2 linked regions of the Drosophila melanogaster genome follow. The protein of the gene in region 1 purifies or fractionates together with the protein of each later gene. This does not show direct contact. Each region holds a gene or a part of one and is shown on either strand. Other genes may lie near its edges.

Region 1 (4,590 bases):
TAGTTGAGACTATACATTTCAATTCAGCAATTATTGCGCATCTATGTGAGGAACTTAAAATATTATCCTATTTAAGTTAAGTGTGCATTGATCATAATTGTATACCCACATCTATTCACTTTTAGTTCATTTATTTTAAATATTCATTGGAGCACCTATAGAGCATATGGAGTTAAAAAATATGACCCAAAATGGAATAATCATTAAAGGACTATATTTTAATTTCAGTTTCCATTAGACGCAAACCACTGTTCTCACACAACACACTTTAAGGGTATCCTCTCTACCTCAGTTGCTCCGCTCTCGCCCACGTAAACGATCGAGAGCCATAAAAAATTCGTTGCGATAACAAGAGTGGCTTCGATTGCACTCATAATAAAAACAAAGCAGCTCACGCATTGGGAATTACAGCAACACAAATGAGGAAATTAAGCAGCGAGGACAGCAACAACATAAACACACTCGAGTGGGCGGCATCGCAGCCAAACATATGAGCGAGAGGGCGAAAAGGAGTGGGAGCGCAGAGTGGCGAGGAGAGCAAGGCGGCTTTGGCGCCTGTCTGCTTTGCCGGCGACGTCGACTGCGCTGCTTTTATGATTCATTTATCATCGTCAGGCGTCAAGAGTCAATGCAGCTAACGGGAGGCGGAGAGTCTGGGACGAGGGGGTGGCGAAGTGTGAAAACGTTGGACAAACATTAACATACAGTTCCAACAGCTGTGGTCAACTTAATAGCATAGCGGGGATCTAATAAGATATCAACTCCAACTTTTGAATCATCAGAAAAAAGGGTTCTTAGTGACCAATATATGTACATATATGTGTACATAAGTATATAAGAGAATCATAGGATAAAATACCCAAATCATTATGTGTCATGCGGTTCATTCCGACATTACCTTTCTACCCCAATTTATCAAGTGCAATGTTTTCTTGCTAATTGTTTTTAAATTCACCGATGTAAGTAGATTGTTTACTCAATAGATACGCTCGTTGATTTCAATTACATATGTATGTATGTCGATACATACTGAATTTAAGATAAAAAGTAAAGGAGTATCGACAAATAGAAAGTAGTAAACTTGCTGTGTGATATATTCTTGACCGCAACTGTATATCTGTACTATAGGCTTTATGGGCATACGTTGGTTTACTGGCTGCTTGCCCAGAGATCTATAAACGTATATATGTATGTACATATAATATGCATGCAAACATACACACATAGGTGAAAATTCGTTTTTAAATCAAGCAAGAACAAACTTTTCGGGAGCGTGTGGGCGCCCAGAACTGGGTTAACGATGTACCGCATTGTGTTTGATTTCATTGACGGTCGAACTTTAGGTAAAATCGATAAAAAATGTTTTTCTTTCTGCAGGGGCCCATGCAAAATTATTCCCTAATGAGAAAAACACACATTGTAGGCACAGGAAACTCGACAACACTTGCGGCATTTAAATTAGCGACAGGGGTTGTCAAACGCAGGGGAGCGGAAGGGAGGAGGGTAGGACATTCAAAGTGACGCAGGCCTAGGTGCATGTTGCAACAACAGCGACGCAAACGTGGCGCTCGCTCCAAGAGCTGAAAGAAGCCACAAACATATGCATACTTCTTCGCCACGTTTACGCGGAGCCAAAGTTTGTGATCAAGCTTCTTGATTACTTTGACGACTGCTTTATGTTAACTTTCTATTAAAACTAAACTTAAGAATTTATTCATGGAATTCATTTTACGCAATTTTTCCGAGGATTGCTGTATAAATATGAAGCCAAAACATGACGAAGATCACCTTCTGCTGTCCGAAGACTTTAAGTAAGTTATCTTAGTATCAATATACAAAATGTAAGCATTAAAAATGATACGATGATTATGGTCGGTGCATATTTAGCGAGTTGCCACGCATAACTGCTGGCGACGGAGACTCTCAGCCGCTCCGACGTTGTCTATTTTGGTTGCGGACGCCAGCCGAAAGCAGCAGGCGGAAATGTTATGCCTTTTATATTCCTCTTTTCAGTTCCCTACCGCGACCGCTTCCGCGCGTCCCTGTCCCTTCCGCTTTTACCTGTGACCGTGCTAAGCAAATATGTTTTTCGTTGAACGAAGGAAGGGGGTGGTGCACTGGCGCACTGGACATGTGCCGTTAGAGCGGTAACTGTTAAATGCCAAATCGACTGCGAAATGTTGTTAGTTATTAGAGCTTTATGTAAATGTCTTGTATCGTGTCACGTGTGTTAATAGCGGGGGAAGGGGCATTGGGGCATTCCAGCTTGTTGACATTTGGTTGCTTTATTTTTGGGCTGGAAATTCGGGAGCAGCAATGTGCTAATCCAAAATAATGTGGCGTGGAAACCACTTGAAACGTTTTCCTTTAATCCACATACACGCACACACACACACGTGAGTTGGAAAAATCAATGTGTGCAACCTCTCCTTAGGCGGTGTGTGTGTGCTTGTCTGTGCATTGGAAGCCAGACCAATTGGACTAACGGTGCACTCTCTTTTTATGAATGAAACTCCCTCGCCCCGCTCTCCACAAGACCATTCTACCCGCTCCACTCGGCCACCACTCTCCACTTGAACTCACTGCAAGTACAATATGCCTTGGCTGCCTTTCTTTTGCACGGTGCACCCTGTACGCCGCTTGCAGTCGAAGAAGAAACGCTTGCGATTCACGGATTCGCGTGGACACCACTTCTCCACTGGCTTCTTGGAGTTTTCCGAGCCCACAACACTTGGCCGCACTCGCACACACTCCAAACCGCACACACACTGTATTGTTTTCCAGTTTTCTCTGGTGTGTGTCATAAATGGCCGACGGACGAGAGGCACCAGCAGCAGTTAAAGCGCAGCAATCTTATGGCGCTCCGCAAACTTTCTCGCTTTCTAGCTTCTTTAGCAACGCGCGCGCATTTTCGGTCCTTGCATCACCCACTAATTGGTTTACATTATTCAGGGGTTTGTTAACTACGAAAAATAATTACAGAAAGACGACAAGACGGCCGCAGCAGACAATGTAGCGATGGCAAAAATATATCAATATATCGATAGCGAACAGAAACGAATATATTCGCTCCGTGACTTTTCACAACATATCGATGAGTTTTTTGTATTGTGATTGGCGACCTTTGAAAAAGTGTTTTTCAAAAAATACCACATCAAATTTTGAGTTCATAATAATCTCTTTGTTCCAAATATTTTTATTTCCAACAAATTGCATAGTGCCAATAAAGTTTGGGGCGTGTCTAAATGCCTCCATGAACGATTGTTGACAGAAATGAATGCATTTTTAGATATGGGTTGAAACTTCAGATAGCGAAGTTACTTTAGATGTTTGAACTGGCGAACAGAAAAACAGCCATTATCTAGTACCCTCTTTAAGACTAGGTTTTTCTTTAATTTTGAAAGATGAAGATAGATATGAGCCTAAAGTGTTTTTAAGATGTCCCTGACCACGCTGCGAAACATACAAGAAAGCGCGCAGTCGAAGCGCCTCAGGCACAGCTGCCTCAGACCAAGGAGCAGTTGTCCGAACCGCAGGTAGTTGGATTGCTGCAGGGTGTAGCGGGCTAAGGAGATCAGGGCGGCTTTAGAGTGGCTTCCCAGGATAACGGCATACTCCGCATTGATGGCCAATTCTGTAAAAACATGCAATCGATATAAGCAATTAAAAGTATTAAAATGGGATATACTAATGGTGGTTTGACTTCCTATTAAACTCTTAATTAAATTAAAACGATGTAAAAGGTCTTAAATCTGTCTCTAATCTTGAATCTAATCAAATTTTATGGTTGGTTCAAACAAACCAACTGCACATGCTGGAAAATTTTCTTTTGAATTTATTAAGCCCAAAACGGAAACGTTTTTTCTGGGGTTAAGAAAACTGCTTGGGTGTACTCTTTCATGCAGAATCAAATAGCAAAATCTATACATAGCGTACATAGGATTTAAATTTTCGTCTAAGAAATCACGTCAATATGTGTAAAAACATTGAAAATTGGTTAGATGGCTTCAAACCGCTTTTATTTTTAAATCCTAACAAGCCTTTTTACCGCACAGGCGGAGCTTTACCTTTTCTGCACAGGATTAGGGACTCCATAAAGTTGAGTTCCAGGACGTCGGCCCTTAGCTGGTGGGCCTCGCAAATGAGCCGTTTGAGCTGCTCATCGCCGCAGCCGTCGATCATGGCGCTGATGTCCAGAGACCAGTGGGACGCTCGCAGGACGAAGATCTCGCTCCACACCACCTGAAAGATGGCGTCTTGTTGGCAGCGATCCAACAGAGCGAACTGCTCGTTGGCCTTCGCCTGGCGCAGGCACGTGACAAGGATCTGGGCGAGGATCTGGAAGTGCAGCGCCTGGGAGTGGGGCGTCGGGGATGGCGCCGCCTGAGATGGCGGAGCTTGTCTCCGGCCAGTGCGGTAGAGAGCCACCTGCTGGTTGCGCGGACCGCGCTCCTCCTGAACCGCAGCAGCGTTCATTCCCACGGCCAGGCATCGCTGGAAGCGGCAGGAGGGACACCAGTTCCGCCGCGCCTTGTCCACCACACAGTTCCCGACCAGAGCGATGCAGGCGTAGCTGCTCCCGCGCCGCAC
Region 2 (7,524 bases), on another chromosome or scaffold:
GAATTTGGGACATCATTTCCGGCCAGAAATACAAAACTATTTCAGCGAACGTATGAAAGAGCGCCAGAATAAACAGCTGTTTAACGTACGCTAATCGAATACACATTTTAATTTATCGATAGCTGACGTGCCTGAAGTTTCTCCACGTCGCGAAGCGTTCACACTGGTCGGCAGTGTATATCGAAATGTTCCGAATGCATTTAGTTCAATTATTTTCATAAAATTGTTATCATAATATTGACTTCTTGAAAAATGTTTAAAATAACAAAATGTGTGTAGTGCCACCAAATCAGTGTGTGCGAATTAAGGCCTAAAACAAAAACAATCGGGTTCGAGCATCGGCTATCGGTAAAGGATCCAATATCGTAACTATTGTACCGATGCGTACCAGTACCGCGTAACGGTACATTGATTGCATTACAAATTTATAAATTATAGAATATAATACAAAATAGTACACTTGGATATTTATTTTTAATTATTTTTTGGCAGCAATTTCCGCCCTTGGCTGTAATGTATTGAATGAAACAAAGTGTCTTAATTTTGATATATTTTTATTTTTATATATTCTTATACATAGCACGGGTTTACGATCATTTCTTAGGTTAACACTTCTATTATTTGCGTTAAGCACTTTTACCACTCAACACAACTAGGAAATGTTATTTTTTAACTACGCATAATGGGTGGTATGCGAATTTTTGTATAATTGTTGACCATTTTGACTTAAAGCTATAATATAAATAAGCTTGGTTTTTTATAAATGCTATTCTTATTCATCATTTGGAAGCAAAGATCATTCCTTTTTGCTCGATTTAACAACAGTTTATAAATGTGCACCTAAAATAAACTAAATGAGATACGAAAGCGTGTAATAAATAATAATTTTGAATAAATAATTGTTTAATAGTGTTGGTGTAAAAGGCAACAAAGAAAATGTGTTGTTATTGAGAGTCTACTTGTGTTTTAACTCCCTTATCTAAGCGATTAATTCGAGTTGGTTCATTCAGCTCGATGGTCAAACTTGGTTTAACAATAAGTCATCTTAAAACTTGACCTGATTCCGGCCGAAAACTCTTACCGGTTTACACGATCTAGGATTAACAATATTAAAATTTATTACCTTAAAGTTGATCTTACGGCTGCGTAATTGTTAATTGTTACTATTGAATTATCTTGGGCTAGGTCTAACTTCTTCATTGTGTGTGTGTGTGATTACCTTAATGGTTTTTTTTTAAGCTTGACAGGCTGAATATTCATTATTTTTTTAAATTCTTTGCAATTATTCGGTTCACTTCATATAGTCGTGGTATTATTGAAGACGTTTGCAAAGATTTAAAGTGTACTTGACTAAACAACAGCGTTTAGTTGGTCGATCGAAATATTGCACCATTGTGATGTTTAATTTCGGACAAACTTTCTTGAATTCACTCCTTAAATCTAAATTATTTTAATACCAATTTGTTACTTGACTTTAGAGCTCTTCGTTTAAGGATTTACAACTAATCGAATTCGTTTCTAGGTTAATATTTGATTTTGTTTTGTTTTTTTCGAAAGAAGGCATGGTTATGAGCTAGCGATTTCCATGAAATACCACCGGCAACATTTAGATATTAAGTTATTTATAAAATATACTTGCTTAACATACAGTAGAATCATATATAATTACGCACAGGAGTGATGGGGATGTGTTATTGCAGGTGAACGTGGGAACAATGCTAACTCTAATACTATTCCGGAAAAGTCTAACAAACATGCGCTTTAGGCTCTACCAAATAAACAATTAACAATTAATACAAAGCGATTACACTGCTAGTAGACAATGGGGCGAAAAGATGTTTTGTTTAGTCGATTAGATTTGGCTTCGATTGCGGATATTGTTAGTAGAAGTGCGGCGGCGGCAACGTTTGCGAGGGCAACGTTGTCGGCTGCTGTTCCCATCAGACAACAGAATCTTTCCGTATCCTGAATTTGTTAGCATGTTTTCGGGGGGAAAAGAGAGACAAGACAACATTTCATCAGCAATGGAAGGGATGGGAGTTGAGTTAGTTTCAGGAATTCGGTTGCTTAAAACTATTTTCGCACCACATATAGTTCTCAGTCTGAGGGGCACGCATAACGCCCACGCCGCCGCCCAGTCGGCGGTAGTTCATGCAGCCGCACAAACGCCATTGGTTCGTCTCTGGGTCGTAGACCTCGATGGTTTTCAAATAGGCGGAACCATCAAAGCCGCCCACAGCATACAGCTGTCCATTGACGACGGCCAGGCCAACCTAAAATGGTGCGATTTCATTTAATACAATACTATTCGCCGAGAAAAAGTGTAACAAAAACTCACCCCACTGCGGCGGGAGGTCATGGCCACGATGGGGCTCCAGGTATTGGTCAGTGGATTGTAGCGCTCGGCGGACGAGAGCTCCATGCAATCGTCTCGCCCGCCGACGGCGTAAATGTAGTTATTGAACACAGCACAGCCCAGGTGCTTGCGTCGCGTTGACATCGGGCTGACTGCTACCCATTTGTTGTGTCTGTAATGATAAAATCGGGGCAATGTAAATCAAACAAATACTACGTTCAAGTGCAATGTACATTAAGGTCATTTGTTACAAGCGATAGAAAATGTACTTGTACGTCTAAAGCTTTTAAATGCTTTATTTATGATTTACCTGGGATCATATCGCTCTACGGTGTTCAACGGGCACTGTCCATCGGAGCCGCCAATTGCGTAGAGAAATCCTCCAAGCACGGCTACCGCCACTCCCAGTCGCCTTGTTGTCATCGGTGCCACTTTCGACCATTTGTTCTCTTTTGGATCGTAGCGCTCCACGTGGTTCAAACATTGAACGCCATCCTGGCCACCCACCGCGTACAAGAAGCCGTCGAGCACAGCCACGCCGACGCTGGTGCGGCAGGAAGTGGTGGGCGCAACGTCGCAGGACCATTGATTCGTTTGTGGATCATAACGCTCGATGCTATTCAGATAGCTCTGGCCATCGTGACCGCCCACGGCGTAAAGTAGATCATTTAACACGGCCACGCCAACTCCGCAGCGTCGTTTGCTCATGGGAGCGACCATTTTCCAGTCGTTGGTCTGAGGATCGAAACGCTCCACGGAGGCAATAGCATCGCCGGAACACCAACCGCCCACGGCGAACAGGACTTCGCCTCGTCGAGTTGGCTTTCGCGGTCTGGTGCGTGGACCCTGCATCAGCGGTCGCTCCTGCGGAAGCAACAGATAGTTCTTAGCCTCATCCACCAAATCCCGGCAGGCCTCGTCGCTGCGCACCAGGAGATCAGAGCCCACCGTGCCAACCAGGAACTTTGGCGACAGCAGAGGCAGACGGACGTGTTGGAGCACCTGAGAATATTCGAAAATATCAATTCATTATTTATTTATTAGTTGCAATACTTAAAAATTGAGCTGTTTATATTATTCCAAAGTAATTATCAAACGGAACAAGTAGGAATCGGTGAGTAGTAATCAGATATGGTTTACAGTAGCTCACCTGTGCCAGATGTTGTCGCCGCTCGGCGACATTGTACTTGAGCCAGGACATGACCGCGTTGAAGACCTGCTCCTCGGAGCGCACGTTTAGCTCGTCGCTGCAAATGATGTCCACCAGCTGGCCGACGGGGAGCAGCAGAAACTCCTCGCTCTCCATCACCTCCTGGAAGTTGTGCTGCGTGAATTTGTCGGCGATCCGTAGAAGTTCCCGGCAGGAGTGTGTGTCGGCAAAGGCGCGTATGCCCAGGCAGTTGGTGGGATCCAATTGCCGTTTGAGGAACTCGCAGCAGATGTCCTGAATCTCAACCAGTTGAAGCAGGCAGGCGGCGGGAAGGAGGGTCTGGACATTCGACTCCTCGACGATTATGTGGGCGGTGTAACAAAAGTCGATGAGCAGCTCCATGGCATTCTCATCGATGTCGCGTATGGTGACCTCAGTCTGGCGCGATTCCTCCAATTCGCCAGTGAACATGGCACAGAAGTAGGAGCTGCAGGCGGACAGGATTACCCGGTGGGCAAAGATCTTCCGTCCGCCCACGTTGAGCACCACATCGCAGAGCTCCCGATGGCGCCGTAGCATATTTAGTTCAGTGAGCGTGACCTTCGGATGTTTCTCGGACGTGTGAGAGAGGCGGGCGGGCGACGGAGGTCGGTCCACTGCCGTAGATCCAACGGAGGAGCCGCCACCAGCCGTGGAATTACCACCGGTACCGGTGACAGCTGTTGGCATACATAATGATTTTGAGTATAAAAATACCATATGTTTGGAATAGTACAAATAAACTTAATGGTACCGATTAATTGGAATTGTGAATGAGAGTTCAAATACTTTTTTATGAAGGAAAAACCTTTTCTAATAGTATTTTTTAGCTGAAAGATCATAGTCTTACGAACAAATATGAAGTATTTAAAGTCACATGAGGCACACAGGTTGCCCCTGGCTTGCTCTCTTCCCAATTCCAAACCAAGCTCCTATCAAATCCTTACCAGCATCCCGTGGTTGAGCGGTGGAGCCCGAGCCCGGCAGGTCGCCCATTCTGTTCGCTGCTAAGCGCAGCGGGCCGGAAGCAACCCAACCCCACACGGCGTCTATCTGTGGGCAGAAATGGTAGTATATAGTAGAATAGTGATTAATGGTCAAGTCAAAGTAAATTAAATCAATGCGTAGGTAGGGCGTAGAAGGGCGGCATTGAACTCGATTATAAGTAAGTAAGTAACTAATCAATTTACAAGGACATTGTGCTTCGTTTAATATCTTCTTGAAGCGACTGTTTACTTAATAAATTAAGTAATTGTACATTTTTGATGCAAATAATTCATATTCTGGGCACTGGATGTGGAAATTCTGATTTATTTTTCTTGTCCTCCGCCCTTTTGCACCACCCACACACAGACATGCTGTGTAACACGCACACATTCACAACTTCGGATCTGCGGATACTAAGGTGGACCTTTCGACTAAAGAAACATCTTAACACTAATACGAGTGTTATTTAAGGTATTCATTCAACACGTTAAGTTTAACAATCCACCATTCGTATAAATGATATAAAATAAATATTAATAATCCTTAAATATTTAGAAACTTTAAGCTAAAAGATCGTTACTTGAAACTTCTGTTTTGAATCTTAAAATAGCTAAGTTTTAAAATTAAAACATGTACTTTAATTGGTAAACAAATTGGCAGGTTGAGTTAATCGATGGTTAAGATAAACAGTTCTCTAGTTCAATAATATGCTTGTGGAATTATCTTCAACCTAATTTAATTAAAACTGAAATCTCTTTTATTCATGTGATATATGTTCAATCGCTTTTACAACATTCACTCCATGGAACACCTTAAAACTGAAAGGTAACCTGGTCCACCCACAAGCACACACCACACACACACACACGCGGATGATGTTGGTTTAGATTTCGATGTATATGTTGGTGTCCCAACCTTTGCGTCTCTGTTCTCTACGGATACAAAGCACGTCCAGGGCCAGCTGCAGGCGGAAAATTTCGAAAATGCAATCTTGATGGCTTAAAAGGACCACATCGAAGATTTTCCTTGCGCGAATTGCACTTTTCAGTACGGAAAAATCGTTTTTTGGTTGGCCTGGAAAAGTCGAAACACGAAACGATTGGTATGGCGATAGAGATGTGAGAAATGCATAACAATATCAGTGTATCGATATTTTTGAGAATACACTTATTTATATTGTGATACTTTGGTGGACATTTCGTTATATCGATATTGTTATTAAATCGTAAACGTAAGCTAATTTTAAGGAGATCTGTTTGAAATATCTCTTCACATTTTTTTTCGAAATTAAAATAAGAGATCACATATTTTTAAATAATTAAAAATAAAATAAACACTATTTGTATACAACTACAAGTAAGTGCAACGGAAGGGAATCTAACTGTGAATTATTGAAATCATTATAATAATCTCTTAAAATTTTCATTAGTAAACTGTCTTTTAATATTCCCGAAAAAATAAGCAAATAACGTAAGACAGGCTTTGTAAGAGTACATTTATCACAGAGCCAACTGTATTTGGCTTCCCTGGTCGCTAAAGAAACGGTATATTTTGGTATCTTAGTGAGCAGCATGCTGGTATTTTTTATTTCATACTATTTCTATACGCGACGCTGAAGAGGAAGGCGAGTTTTGAGCAGTTGAAAAGCCCGTTAAATAGTGCAAAATAGTAGCTAATTTTAAGTGCAACGTGTAAATAAAGGCAATTTAGATCGCGAAAAAGTTCGGTGAGCAAATAATAATTTGAGATTGGAAAGTGGAAAGTACGTGAACTGGGCGAGAAAAGAAAACGGAAAAACGTGAGACTGTGTGCGTGCGAAGAATTTTCCGTCTCCCTCGCACCAAAGTGGAGCGCACTCAATTATTTTGTGGATGGAGTGGAACACAAACAACAAAAACGACAACGACTATAGCAATAACAAAAACGACGACACAGCAACAAAAACAGCAATAGCAACAACAGAATTAAATGCAAATGCAAAACATGTTGAGGGAAAGAGAGCGAAAATCGAGAGAACAATAGCAAAAGGATGTAATGCAACCGATGGAATAACTAGAGTACAAGTACAAAAATTGCATTGGAAATTTAAATTCGTGCGACAAAAGCGGACGATTGCAGAAATTTTCGAAACTTGGCAGCCATATTTACTACAAAAGCAACGCCGTTGTAAAAATACGTGACAAAACGCTTACACACACATACTCACATTCGTACACCCACACACAGTTGCGCTCTCTCACACACATACACACAGTTGCGCTCTCTCACACATAAACACACAAGCGTATCGAAAGACTGGTGCAGACAGAGAGAGACGCGAATGTGAATTAACAAACAAACAAAAATATTTTGCGAAAAAGACAAACACAAAAAGTAAAGCCAATAAAGTGTATTACATAAACAAACGGAGCTCCGATATCTAAATAAATATTATGGAAATCGCACCACTGATCAATAACGCCGTCGCTGTCGTCACAGCCTCTGCCTCTGCCGCCGTCTCTGCCTCTGCTAGCGTCGGCAGTAGCAGCAAGGATGATAACGGTAGGCGGGTCTCTAGATGATAAGCGGTACACTTCCAGTGGGTTCATAATAAACTATAAAAATAATAAAATATATGTAAATACAAAGCATAAAGTGTAGTACGTGCTCGAAAGAGTCACACTTTCTCGTTAAAGAACTTCACGTTCTATCCATATTATATGATTATTATGTTTCAAAATCCTTTATAATCAAAAGCGAATTAGACAATCAGAATATCTCCCACCCAGCAATTCATAATCTATATAAAATATAGTCAGAATATTGCAATCATACAAAAATAAATACAAACACAAGGACTTAAGTATTTGGCTTTAATCAAAATATATCCATTTGTTTCTTTGCCTTAATTAGTTTACATCATTAATAATCGTATATTTTTAAGGCTAATATCACGTAGCTAAAAACTAAAGAACTAGGCTAATTTTTTATCTGGTAAGATAAAAAGTAAATA

The links. Proteins that work in one complex are often made in the same cells at the same time.
Region 2: the proteins of Pak (region 1) and dbo purify together in Drosophila melanogaster (affinity purification with western blotting, with the first as the bait; one study listed by BioGRID). This does not show direct contact.

What each region holds. Positions count from the first base shown.
Region 1 is NT_033777.3:6,349,345-6,353,934, reverse strand, and holds the start of Pak (p21-activated kinase), read right to left. Parts: upstream 3,040-4,590; 5' UTR 2,584-3,039; intron 813-2,583; exon of another isoform or gene 396-812; intron 1-395. Other genes in the region: Hr83 (hormone receptor 83), read right to left, coding at 3,423-3,634, 4,068-4,590.
Region 2 is NT_037436.4:15,825,020-15,832,543, reverse strand, and holds dbo (diablo), read right to left. Parts: upstream 5,657-7,524; 5' UTR 5,448-5,656; intron 4,599-5,447; 5' UTR 4,542-4,598; coding exon 4,493-4,541; intron 4,226-4,492; coding exon 3,507-4,225; intron 3,359-3,506; coding exon 2,667-3,358; intron 2,529-2,666; coding exon 2,339-2,528; intron 2,274-2,338; coding exon 2,052-2,273; 3' UTR 1,966-2,051; coding exon of another isoform or gene 1,941-1,965; 3' UTR 540-1,940; downstream 1-539. Other genes in the region: CG12713 (uncharacterized protein), read right to left, coding at 1-16; DCP2 (decapping protein 2), read left to right, coding at 6,965-7,073. UniProt on the Drosophila melanogaster protein: Probable substrate-specific adapter of an E3 ubiquitin-protein ligase complex which mediates the ubiquitination and subsequent proteasomal degradation of target proteins. May have a role in synapse differentiation and growth.